Linked DNA regions of Arabidopsis thaliana. The protein of the gene in region 3 interacts with the protein of the main gene of each other region in a pairwise test. Each region holds a gene or a part of one and is shown on either strand. Other genes may lie near its edges.

The links. Proteins that work in one complex are often made in the same cells at the same time.
Region 1: the proteins of AT4G26580 (region 3) and AT2G22425 interact in a protein complementation assay, tested with the Arabidopsis thaliana proteins (one large-scale study listed by BioGRID).
Region 2: the proteins of AT4G26580 (region 3) and AT2G41705 interact in a protein complementation assay, tested with the Arabidopsis thaliana proteins (one large-scale study listed by BioGRID).

What each region holds. Positions count from the first base shown.
Region 1 is NC_003071.7:9,512,639-9,516,177, forward strand, and holds AT2G22425 (Microsomal signal peptidase 12 kDa subunit (SPC12)), read left to right. Parts: upstream 1-2,056; 5' UTR 2,057-2,350; intron 2,351-2,434; 5' UTR 2,435-2,440; coding exon 2,441-2,719; 3' UTR 2,720-3,036; downstream 3,037-3,539. Other genes in the region: AT2G22420 (Peroxidase superfamily protein), read left to right, coding at 703-906, 990-1,181, 1,253-1,846. UniProt on the Arabidopsis thaliana protein: Component of the signal peptidase complex (SPC) which catalyzes the cleavage of N-terminal signal sequences from nascent proteins as they are translocated into the lumen of the endoplasmic reticulum. Dispensable for SPC enzymatic activity.
Region 2 is NC_003071.7:17,395,295-17,400,584, forward strand, and holds AT2G41705 (camphor resistance CrcB family protein), read left to right. Parts: upstream 1-1,975; 5' UTR 1,976-2,216; exon of another isoform or gene 2,217-2,745; 5' UTR 2,746-2,788; coding exon 2,789-3,166; intron 3,167-3,261; coding exon 3,262-3,345; intron 3,346-3,440; coding exon 3,441-3,539; intron 3,540-3,621; coding exon 3,622-3,814; intron 3,815-3,901; coding exon 3,902-4,314; intron 4,315-4,397; coding exon 4,398-4,616; 3' UTR 4,617-4,787; downstream 4,788-5,290. Other genes in the region: ABCA1 (ATP-binding cassette A1), read right to left, coding at 37-119, 218-386, 490-569, 730-816; AT2G41710 (Integrase-type DNA-binding superfamily protein), read right to left, coding at 4,966-5,290.
Region 3 is NC_003075.7:13,410,928-13,415,054, reverse strand, and holds AT4G26580 (RING/U-box superfamily protein), read left to right. Parts: upstream 1-1,611; 5' UTR 1,612-1,999; intron 2,000-2,025; exon of another isoform or gene 2,026-2,133; 5' UTR 2,134-2,165; coding exon 2,166-2,668; intron 2,669-2,755; coding exon 2,756-3,113; intron 3,114-3,203; coding exon 3,204-3,350; 3' UTR 3,351-3,608; downstream 3,609-4,127. Other genes in the region: OPT5 (oligopeptide transporter 5), read left to right, coding at 1-921.

The sequences.
Region 1 (3,539 bases), on a different chromosome or scaffold from region 3:
TTTTTCATAAGATGTTTCTTATTAATGTATTTTTAGGATTTTCACACATCTTAAAAAACATATTAAAAGTTGATTAGAAATATATTATTCTTCTTGAAGTTTACACATCAATAATAACTAGTAATAAATATTGCATAGAAATTTTAAAAATGACTATCTTTTCGAATCAAAAAAATTTCCTACAAAATACAATAATAAACAAAGAGAGTAGTACTGTTCATCTAAATACTGTATAATGGATGTTTTACCAATTTTAACAATTACGTACAAAAGTTTCACACCTTTATAAAAAAAATTTGATCAATTATCCTTTTATCTTCTTTATTTTTGCCAGCTAATATACACTGCAATAATCCAAACTTAACAAACATTTAACATTACTTCAGATTCATCATTCAATAATTTCACAAACCCATAATTTTACCAAATTACTACACTAATCCCCCATTGGCACCAATTCTATAATTAGAAAATTTATTTCTTTATTTATTTATTTATTTATTTCTATTTATTAAAGAAATAAATTATAGAAATTGGAATGCCCACCACCACCAGAGACCACACTTGCACAAATTCCATCTATAAACACAAAAGCCTTTAGTATCATTCTCGAAAACCACCAAAAACCTCTTTATAACCCAACAAACAAAGTCTCTACTTCTTCTTCAATCACTGAAACACAACACCAAAAAAGAAAAAAGTATGTCTCTTCTTCCCCATCTCATCCTCTACCTAACACTTTTGACGGTGGTTGTTACTGGAGAAACTCTCCGACCAAGATTCTACAGCGAGACATGCCCTGAAGCTGAATCCATAGTAAGAAGAGAAATGAAGAAAGCAATGATCAAAGAAGCAAGAAGCGTCGCTTCCGTCATGCGTTTCCAATTTCACGACTGTTTCGTCAATGTAAACACTATAAATCTTTCTCTCTGTTCTTGATCTTTACTCTGTTTTCCTCTCTGAATTTTTCTTTGAATCATCAAATTCAGGGATGTGACGCATCTCTGTTGCTTGACGACACACCAAACATGCTTGGTGAAAAACTATCACTTTCCAACATCGATTCACTAAGATCTTTCGAAGTCGTTGACGACATTAAAGAAGCTCTAGAGAAAGCTTGTCCAGCTACTGTTTCTTGTGCCGATATCGTTATCATGGCCGCTCGTGACGCCGTTGCTCTTGTAAGTCAAAATTCAATTTCCCCGGTTTAGTGAAATCTCGGTTTTGTAATTTTGGTCTTTGAAAAAACCAGACAGGAGGACCAGATTGGGAAGTGAAGCTAGGGAGGAAAGACAGTTTAACAGCGAGTCAGCAAGATTCCGACGATATAATGCCAAGTCCAAGAGCCAACGCAACTTTCTTGATTGATCTCTTCGAAAGATTCAATCTTTCTGTAAAAGACATGGTTGCTTTATCAGGGTCACACTCAATAGGTCAAGGTCGGTGTTTTTCAATCATGTTCAGACTTTATAACCAATCCGGTTCTGGTAAACCGGATCCAGCTCTTGAACCGAGTTACCGTAAGAAGCTTGATAAGCTTTGTCCTTTGGGTGGAGATGAGAATGTGACTGGAGATCTAGATGCAACACCTCAGGTTTTTGATAATCAGTATTTCAAAGACTTGGTTTCAGGGAGAGGGTTTCTTAACTCTGATCAGACTTTGTACACGAATCTAGTGACGAGAGAGTATGTGAAGATGTTTAGTGAGGATCAAGATGAGTTCTTTAGGGCTTTTGCAGAAGGCATGGTGAAGTTGGGTGATTTGCAATCTGGGAGACCTGGTGAGATTAGGTTTAATTGTAGAGTTGTTAATAGAAGGCCTATTGATGTATTGCTTGTATCTTGAATTATCATTAGTAAAGAGAAGAAATCTTAATTATGACTTCTAAATTGATGCAAATCTTTTTAGCTACATGCCATGGATCTTGGTTCTCCAAAACTTTGATTTTGGTTTATGAATACTGGTCACTGCTAAAGCTACAATCTGGTCACACCAGTCTATAAAATAGTAAACATTATCTAATCACTGAAGTTGTTGTCCCAATAAACAAATTATGGACTGGACAAGTAGCAACATTCTAATTCTGAGGTACACACAAAGAAACTTAAATGTAAATATTCCTTGTTTCAAGGTTTCAGAATTTGCACATATACAAAATCTCGAAATAATTAAGGCACATTAAAAACCGCCGGTTCACCCGGTTATAGAGTAATCTGACCGTCCACTTTATCCGGTTTACTTTTAAACCGATTTTGTGGTCTTAGCTCATAAATGTCAAGAGTCCTTTCTTTTCTTCCCCATTGTTGAAAATCAGGTTTACAGATTCAGTGAGAGATCAGATCGCTAAAGGTTTGTGCAATTAGGGTTCTCAGATTCTCTCTTTTGTTTAACTTTGGATTCAAATCGCTAATGGTTTTTGATTTCGTTGTGTAGAAGAAAATGGATTGGCAAGGACAGAAACTGGTGGAGCAGCTGATGCAGATCTTACTGGTGATCTCCGGCGTTGTAGCGGTGGTTGTTGGCTACACAACGGAATCGTTCAGGACGATGATGCTGATCTATGCCGGTGGTGTTGTTCTCACGACTTTGGTTACTGTACCTAATTGGCCTTTCTACAATCTTCATCCTCTCAAATGGTTAGATCCGAGCGAAGCCGAGAAGCATCCCAAACCAGAAGTTGTCAGTGTTGCTTCGAAGAAGAAATTCTCTAAGAAATAGGTCTGATTCTGAATCTCTCTCTCTCTCTCTCTCTCTCTCTCTCTCAGAATTGTTTGTATGAGATATTTGTGGATCGGAATCTTAATTATGAATTGAATATTCTGGGTTGATTCTTATAATTATCTGTTTTTGCCAAAGGAATTTGCTTTTGAATCAATGGCTATGGCTGTAATCTGGCAATTTCACTGAATTGTGTAGATTATCTATCATCAGAGAGTTTTAGATGAAAAAGTCTTATGAATCACAAAAGTCTCAGTTTTTATGAAAATGGTACATAAATATCACACCATCCATTTACACTCTGTGTTAAGCTTGTGTGCAAAAACCAATGCTAGTCTTTGATGCTTTGCTCCTTCTTATTTTCTTGAGTCGAAGTAGAAATAGTTTGTGTGATTCCAAACTGTTCCGCTAGTCGCTGGTCAGAGGATTTGCACGGGTTCATATTCCGGGAGATTCGAGTCATCTGGCGAACGCGAACGCTTAAAGGTAGGTCATAGGCTTATGAAACGAAATGACAGTTGAATCAGCGAACGCGTACAGGTTTGGAATCAGAATTTGAGAGAACCAACATTTGGCAGGATGCTTGTAAATGAGCTGTGGAGAAAAAGGAGTGGTTTAGTTAGGTCAGCATTAGGAAGAAGCAGAGGATATGAAAAGTATACCTTCACCAGAAGGATGAAGCAAATTCACAAACAAAGAGAGAGCTCTCCGGAAGTAGCAATAGCCAAAATCTACATGGTATCGCAAAAAAAATACATCATGTGGATAAACAATAGAGGAAAATTCAGTGATTGTAAGAAACTAGTCAACTCTAGAGACA
Region 2 (5,290 bases), on a different chromosome or scaffold from region 3:
GCCTTCTTATTAGCTGGAAAAAAGAACAAAACATACCTCACTTCGCTACAGACACCATAATGCGCAGATGTTATATAAGTTTCCAGCTCTATGTCATCTTTAAAAATTTTAGTAACTAGCTGCAAACAGAAGACACAGGGTCGATTAAACGTGTGACATATGAAGAGTAACTATCGATCTAGAATGCAGCATAAGATGAAGACGTGATGATGATTACCCGCAGTTCCGGAAACTTAAGAGACAAAATGTCGATCATGTTATTAGTTTCATCAGTGTCAGGTGCAAAAGCTAAAAAATCCCCCTCAGCAAGCAAAAGCTTCAAAACTTCTGGAAAACTAGGAGAGTTGCCTTTGCCCACTTCGACGACTGTATCTTTGTCTATGTTCCTTTCATGATCAACAGAACAAAATGCAGAAAACGAAATCAAAATCCAATTTTAGTACGAGAGAGAGAGAGGCTAGTGACGAGTGTAAAAAACTGATATCTTACGAGTGAGCCGGGTGAATTGTGGTGTCAACCCGTGTCCTGACGGCTATCAACAGCAACATTACAATAGTCGGAAGCAAAATCTGCCAATGAATAAGAGAAAGAAGCAAAATTTGATCAACAATTCGAAATTTTAAAAACAAAAATTGCATTCAGCATCAAGGAGAAGAAGACCCATTAAGACGAGCAGTGAATAAGCATGAAAACGACATAGTTTTGAGGAGCAAAGAAAAAGAGAGAAACCTCAGCTGAAGTAACGAAGGGATGACGAGTTTTGAGGAGCCAATTCTTGCGGAGCATGGCCTTGAATTGCCTCTTCGATGAACCCATTTTTCCTTGGAACCCAGAAAGAACCCTAGACGATAGATTCTAGTCTTGGCTTCAATAAGAAATCATACTTTTATGGTTCTTCTTTGGGAAAAGGCAAAGCAAAGTAGCAAACTAAGAAAGCAGAGAGAGGTGGCGAAGACTTGGGCTCACCTCACTGACATTTGTGCTTCCTTTTTTTTTTTTTTTTTTTTCCTGCCAATTTATTTGATTCATTAATCAATTTGATTATACAATCAAACAAAAGAATTTTGCAACTAGCTGCGGATAACACAAGTGGTCGACAAAAATAGAAGAATTCCGAAACTGTTTCATTTATTTACGGGACCTTTCTTCTTCTATCAAAAAACCCAAAAAATAAGGAGAAGATTAGATTAGTTGTCGTGATATTAAGAAGGTAATCTTATATTAAACCAAAAAAAAAGAAGAAGATAATCTTATAATTAATATATATAAGTACTTAAGTACAGTTGCTGATGTTGACCCAAATATAAATCTTTGCGTCAATGCCAAGTAGGGGTGGCTCTCTCACGGGCTCCACATTAAAAGCCTAGTGTAGTGTACGTGGAACATCCTGATTCGTTTTAGAGTTGCGTTACGCCAATTATATTACGACGAAAACGACGACGTTCCTAAGTTTGACGGCAAAGTATACGAATGTTTTTATTATTTTTCCGAAGGTTGCCAATAAAAGCCGCCATTAGAATTATTCCTTTCATTGCCACTCCCCAACTTGATTCTTATTTTTATTTTTATCAGTTGTGACACAACTTTAAAGAAATCCACCTTCATATTCAATCCTCAAAAATGCTGTTTTTTTTTAACACAGAAAAAAAACAATTTTTAGTAAAATTATATCAAATGTAGAATCAAAATGACACTATTTTCTTCAACTAAAAACAATGAAACTTTTTTTTTAATACCATTAACTTTTAATAATTTATCTGGATTTTTTCAAAATATATGATCAAATTTCAAGTAACATCTAAATATATGTTAAAGATGATTTTGTTTGGGCTGTCGTTTCCAAGGATATTTTTGTTATCCGCCAGAGACAAAAAAAATCTGTTATGAGAAGCGGGGCTACTGGGCCAGCTCTTTGTGGCCCATAATTTAGAAATATTTTAAAACTTATGTATTGTTTTTGTTTTTTTTAGGGTGCGATTTTCCCGACTAAACCAACTCTACTTGTCTGTACATGTGTGTTCGACTAAACAAAGTTACAATCGTCTTCTGCTTTGTTGTTCGTCCATCTTCTACAATCGAACCTACTTCCCTTAACATCCAATAAACCAGAGAATAAATTGATGGTTTTCGATTGTCTCCTGTTAGCTCGATTTCTCCGCCGGCGACTTTTGGGATCAAATTTGATTCTTCACGATTAAGATTGAATTCGCCATTAGGTAAAGCTGCTGAATTTTAAATGTCTAGCTCAAAATCCAAACCCAAAACAGGTCCCAATCTAAGAAAAGTATTCATTCGTCTTTGCCACCTGTACAACTTTTTAAGATTTTCGTTTTTTTCTCTATTGGTGAACAAGTGATTATTTTAGTCTACCTTTTTTTCGATTTCCACTAACTAAAACGCAAGTAAATTTTTATCTTTTGTTTTAAGGGATAGTGGAGGACAAAATCTTGAAAACTGTTTTTGGATCCCTTCACCAGGTCATTCTTATTCTGCTTCTGTAGAAAGTAATAAACTAAAGTCATAATCTATCATGAATATGTGAACTTTTTTGAATTTGTTGTCTTAGTATCAAAAAGCTATGGTTTTGAAGATTACAGCTAAACTTTTCAAACAGTGTCTTTAATAAGCATTAGGAATTTCTCGAATGTTTACTTGCCACATTGTTCGATTATCTCTTGTCTCTTTTTGCACATTCCTTCATGTCTTCTTTCTTGTGTGTGTGGCTGTGGCTTAAAATATGTGCAGGTGGAGCATCATTTAAGAATCTTATGCTTTGGCTACAACGCCTATGGATACGGGTCAAAGCAGCATAGAACCTTATCAAGCCAAGTCTTTTAGTCGGGAGAGCAGTGTAGCCTCTTCTTTAAGCTTATCACGTAGTTTGCCTCACCTAATTGACAATGACGTCGATAGTGAGAGTGTCTCAGAGGCAGGGGATATTGGGGACCGCTCACTTCGGAGAAGGCATAGTGCTGGTAGAAGCAGCCGTTTGTCTGCTGATGATTTTATAGAACAAGGGACTCATGATACTTCTCGTCAAGAACAAGATATATTACATGACCTTCGAGCTTTCAACACTGCTTCCGTAAATAAAACTTTGCCTGAGGACATAACAGCATCTCCTTTACCGACCAAGTCACTCTTGTCACCTGAAATAAACAACTCCGTAGAGACTACCTCTAACTTTGCATAGTCACATCATTGTTAGTATTGGTTTCTTTGTCCAATGTTTTGATCTATTGTAGCTCGTGGGTTGCACAGGGAAAGGAGGAAGAGCGAGTGTTACCAAAGTCCTTGGAGTACATATCATGCCTAATTCATTTGGCTGTTTTTGGGATTTTTGGGGTAAAATGCTTATTTTCCATTTTCTGTCTGTCTCTCTGTTGTGCTTTGTTTTTGTTTAAATCATTATAATCAACTCGTTGACTCCAAATATACAGGCCATTACGAGATATTTGCTGCAAAAATTGTTTGGGCCAACTGGTGCTCGAGTAACAAGTGATGGGAGCATCTTGTACCTTGATCTTCCCTCCAACATGGTGAAAGTCGCAATGCACTCATCTCAAACTTAATTACAAACCTATCTTTCTTAATAAAAATTCTCCAAATGCTTCCTTATAGGTAGGATCATTCTTGATGGGTTGGTTTGGCGTTGTATTCAAAGCAGATATAGCAAGAGTTTCTGAATTTGTGGCGATAGGATTATCGACTGGTTATTTGGGGAGTCTGACAACATTCAGCGGTTGGAACCAGAAAATGCTGGATCTTAGTGCTGATGGTCAATGGGTGTATGCTGTGCTTGGCTTTTTATTAGGTAAAAACAAAAAATTCCCTTCTCAATCTCCAATCACCTACTAAATTGGATGAAACATACTTGCTTACAGCATAAACGACTTTACAGGATTGTTTCTCACGTCATACTCCATAATTCTGGGAGTGGAAACGGCCAAAGGGTTTAAATGGCTTCTTCATAGAAGAGCTTCTTCTGAGGATAAATTCCATTGTCTTAAGGTTAACACCTTCCAGAGCCATATTGTGTCTCTGACCCTGATGCTTCTGTTGCTTGTGGCTTTACTCACTGCCAGTTCCATACTGCTTGTGAAAGAGTTTGACAAAGGAACAAGCGAGGCTCAGCTATGGTTTGGTTGCTTAGTTGCAGCCCCTGGTGTCTGGCTCAGATGGTTCTTAGCCCGACTCAATGGACGTGGGCTGGGAAAGGATAGTCAAAATTTGAGATGGGTCCCATTTGGCACCCTCATTGCAAATGTAGTTGCAGCTTGCGTTATGGCAGCATTGGCTACCTTGAAGAAATCGGTATAAACTTCCTCACCTCCTCTCTCTACCAAACAGATCAAATCACAAAAGATAACATTCATTGTATATATTTTGGGAAACAGGTGAACACGAGAACATGTAACACGGTTGCTTCGAGCATACAGTTTGGTCTGTTGGGATGTCTGAGCACAGTTTCGACCTTCATGGCTGAGTTCAATGCGATGAGAGAAAGTGATTACCCATGGAGAGCCTATGCGTATGCATCTTTTACCATTGTGGTTTCTTTTGCGATTGGAACTATTATATACTCAGTCCCTGTCTGGGTAATAGGATTCAGTTAGTTGTATCAAAGCTAGATAAGTCTTGTGCAGATGATGTGATAATACATAGTCGTAACATTTGGTAGAGATGAATAATTAGATCGGTCACAATCAAATTATATTATACCTTGTGCAGAAATATTAAGAGCAAACTTCTATACTATAATGATAACTTTTTTCTGTTTTACACAAAATATCATGATTCTATATTCCACACTGGAAAAAAAAAAACACAACCACTAACAAAACCTGTACATTCCTGCTTCAGACCATTGTCACACTTTTCCCAACTTTTTCTCCATAAAAGAGACAAAGAGATGTCAAGTCGACGAATTCATCTCAAAAAAGGAGAATCTGACATACATAAAGTCTAAAGGGAACGGCTCATTTCTCTTGTGGGAGGTAGCTGTACGTGGAACAGCTGGTCTCTGTCTTTGTCACCTGCAGAAGAAAGAGAGCCAAAGAAAATGACATAAGGAAGATGTGTTGTAGTAACCTCTGAAGTCTCTGGTTCTATAGATATATGACTACGAACCTCTGAAGTAAGAGAGGATCCTGAAGGAAGAAATGGTGTCCAGAGAATAGGGTCTGCAAGAGGATCCAATGTATTGTAGTTGGTGAGCAATGGAGCCGTTAAGAGAGAGGTAAGTGGGTACATGCTTTTCTGAAGAGACAAAGCAGCAGCACCGCCTAAA
Region 3 (4,127 bases):
GCATGTGAGGGATTTGGCAAACAGCTTCAGCTCCCATGGTGGGGACTTTTACTCGCTTGTGCCATCGCCTTTACCTTCACTTTGCCTATTGGAGTTATCCTAGCGACCACAAACCAGCGAATGGGTCTTAATGTTATATCGGAACTGATCATCGGGTTCTTGTATCCGGGAAAGCCACTTGCCAATGTGGCTTTTAAGACTTATGGTTCTGTGAGTATAGCTCAAGCCTTGTACTTTGTCGGAGACTTCAAACTTGGCCACTACATGAAGATTCCTCCGAGATCTATGTTCATCGTTCAACTCGTTGCGACTATTGTTGCTTCAACTGTCTCCTTCGGGACCACATGGTGGTTGCTTTCTTCAGTCGAGAACATCTGTAACACAGATATGCTCCCAAAGAGTAGTCCGTGGACTTGCCCTGGGGATGTAGTGTTCTACAACGCGTCGATCATTTGGGGAATCATCGGTCCTGGAAGGATGTTCACAAGTAAAGGTATATACCCCGGGATGAACTGGTTCTTCCTCATTGGCTTCCTTGCTCCTGTCCCGGTCTGGTTCTTTGCAAGGAAATTCCCGGAGAAGAAGTGGATACATCAGATTCATATTCCCTTGATCTTCTCAGGGGCTAATGTGATGCCAATGGCCAAGGCTGTGCATTACTGGTCGTGGTTCGCTGTTGGGATCGTGTTCAACTACTATATCTTCAGGAGGTACAAGGGATGGTGGGCAAGGCATAACTACATCCTCTCTGCAGCTCTTGATGCAGGCACTGCGGTTATGGGAGTGTTGATCTACTTTGCGTTACAGAACAATAACATAAGCTTACCAGATTGGTGGGGGAATGAGAACACAGACCATTGCCCTTTGGCAAATTGCCCAACAGAGAAAGGGATCGTCGCTAAGGGCTGCCCGGTGTTCTAAAACCTTGTTGCAGTTTAACATTATCTCTGTAGTTTCTCATACCTGCAGGTGAGGGACAGTTACTGCAAAGTCGTTTGGTGGCCATAATAATAATAATGCGTAAAGACTTTGTGAGAGTTTAAGTGATAAAGTAAAAAATGGTTTGCAAATTAAGAACACCCAAAGATGATAGCTCTAACACAAATTTCAATCAAAGAGAGTATAATTTCAGGACAAAGCAAAACAAGGCTAAAAGTTTCCATCTTTTTCTAATTGAATAACACTAAGATCTGTGAACAACTTCCGTTCCTGTCAATTTCAAGCAATCAAGAACCAAATTTGTCACCTTCTATTGAACTCAGGAAAACTCCTAAATTGTGCAATTTAACGTACATGTCAAACGTAATCAGATCCTAAGATTCATAGTTAGGTTTTTCAAACCTTCGAAGTCATCATGAGAGAGATCTCCAGAGGAGGCAGGAGATGGAGGACAAGCTTGATGTACTCATTATGGGAGAGCTCAAACTTGAGCTAGTAGAGCTACGCCATTATTTCCCAAGCTCACCTTTGTTTGACTCGATCACAAAACTCAGTGAGTCAGACTCAGTTCAACGACCCTCTAATTTGGATACCCGTTTACGCGGCCCAACCCGGCCCAATACTGGATTTTGAATTTTTTTATGTTTAATGATTTTCTTATAAATATTTGGCTTTGCGTAGAGGGAGAGAGGGAGAGAGGGAGGAGAGATGGCGTTGTCTAACCAAAAAAAAAACGAGAATAGATAAAGCAGCAGCGGTTGCTGTCGGAGTTTTGCTTCGAAGACAAAAAACTAAGGTTGTTAGGTTTTATAGGCCAACGGTTTATGTTCTCCTACTTCTCTGCTTCTTCTGCATTCTTCAATCCTAAGCAAAAATCCATTTGTGGACGTCACTATCAAACGGCCAACTTCACCTTCTCTGACAATATCACTACACCTTCCTTTCTTCTTCATCTCTTCTATCTTCACTATTTTTTTACCAAAATCTTCTCCATCTGCTGGGTTCACACCAAAACCTACACTTTTTGGTATGTTGCTCTGTTTCGCAGAGTGAAGATAAGGTATTTGATGAAAATGCCTCACTGATATATCCATCCATGTCTTTTTTTTTACATGTACTTTAATTGCATATTTTAAAGACTTTTCATGGCTTTTTAGCTCAAGCTTTACTCTGTTTCTCTTTGCTCTTGTTCAGGAGATCAAATCAAAGACCTCTCTGTTTCCGATATGAGTACCCGTTATTCCTCTCAGTTGCAATCATCAGCCATTAACTCCATCACTGTCTCCTCATCTTCTTCCTTCGCTTCCACGCAACTGGATGATAACACTCACACGGCTCCGGAGAGCTCTCCATCTTCTTCCTTCTTCATGAGACTTGCCATGAGGGTATCTAGAGCAAGGTGGTTCATTTTCTTGAGAAGAGTCTTTCATTACCAGAACGCCTCAAGATCCGATCTTGGCACCAATCCTTTCAATTCTATCGCTTGGATGGTATCAGAGCTCATCGCTTTACTTTTACAGATCACTGTGATAACATCCACACTAGCTTTGTCCAAAAACGAGAGGCCTGTTTGGCCGATGAGGTTATGGATCACTGGCTACAACGTTGGATGTCTGCTCAATCTTATGTTACTATACGGTCGGTATCGTCAGCAAGATACTAGCCATGAAAATGCATTTAGCTTCGGCGATATTGAGCAGCAACAAAGAAGCAGGGAAGAGACCACCAGGTTACTAACAAAAATCTAGTTTTTTCAAGTTTGATCATAAAATGCAAAGATTTCTAGGAAAATGACTTATTTTTGTGTGTGTTTTAGGTGCTCGCATTTGATGAACAAATGCCGGACATCGCTGGAGCTATTCTTTGCGATATGGTTTGTGATAGGTAATGTATGGGTTTTTGATTCTCGGTTTGGTTCTTTCCACTATGCTCCAATCCTTCATGTCCTCTGCATCTCCCTACTCGCTTGGAACGCTCTCTGTTACTCCTTCCCATTTCTTCTCTTCCTCCTGCTCTGTTGTGTTGTACCTCTCGTTAGTAGCTTCCTCGGCTACAACATGAACGTTGGATCTTCGGAAAAAGGAGCTTCAGATGACCAGATCTCCAGTCTCCCAAGTTGGAAATACAAACTCATTGATGAAACTTCTGATTCTTCTCAAGCAAACAATGATCCGGTAAGCACTAATTTGAATTCTGAAATAGGTCAAATAGTCAGAAATCAATCTTGATATCAAAACTGAAACCCACCGGTTTCATTATTGCAGGAATGTTGTATATGTTTGGCAAAGTACAAAGAGAAAGAAGAAGTGAGAAAGCTTCCATGTTCGCATAGGTTTCACCTCAAATGCGTAGATCAATGGCTTCGTATCATCTCGTGTTGTCCTCTTTGCAAACAAGATCTCCCTAACTGAAAAATCAAAACAATACATGAGTCACAAGATTGAATCTCTGACCAAGTACCATATATGTGTTTTTTTTTTTTTCTGTTGCCGCCTAAACACGTTTACTTGTGTGAATGTCGTTATCATTCCTTTTTTTTTCTTGTGTACAAAGTAGCTCACCAGTAACTGTAATTTTACCTAAAAAAAAAGTTAAAAAACATGATCAATCTGTTGTTTTACCAGTAGAGTTTGTCCCTCTCTTACCATTAATCAAAGTTTTAATTGTTGGTTAATGTAACTAAGCTTATACTGGTTTTTGCTATAATATTTTTTCCAAAGACAATTTAAACCGAATTCAAACCCAGAGACCAAATCAGACCAAAGCAACAGTCAGAATCCGAATAACATGACACGCCGTCGTATAGGAACGATTATTGAAACGATGGTGTTTAAGACAGCGCATAAATGGACACATGCTCCACTAGACGACGACGTGTGAAAGTGAATGTAACAAGGAGTTTTATTACAACTGTATCAACATCGAGTAAAAATAAACAAAATTATTTATTTTTTAAATTTAAAAAGTATAAAAACGCCAACAAACAAAAATAATTTGGTCTTTTTCTTAGCATATTTAAAATTTTGCAATATATTCATTCTGCTTATAGAAAATCGTGTCGACCTTTTTTCTCTCACTTACCCAATAAGAGCTTTTTTCGCGTTTTCCACCGCAACCACCGTCACCTTCAACCGCCGGAGCCGCCGCAAGGAAGGCTCATCATCCGCCGTGGCGTAAGGCTTTTTCTT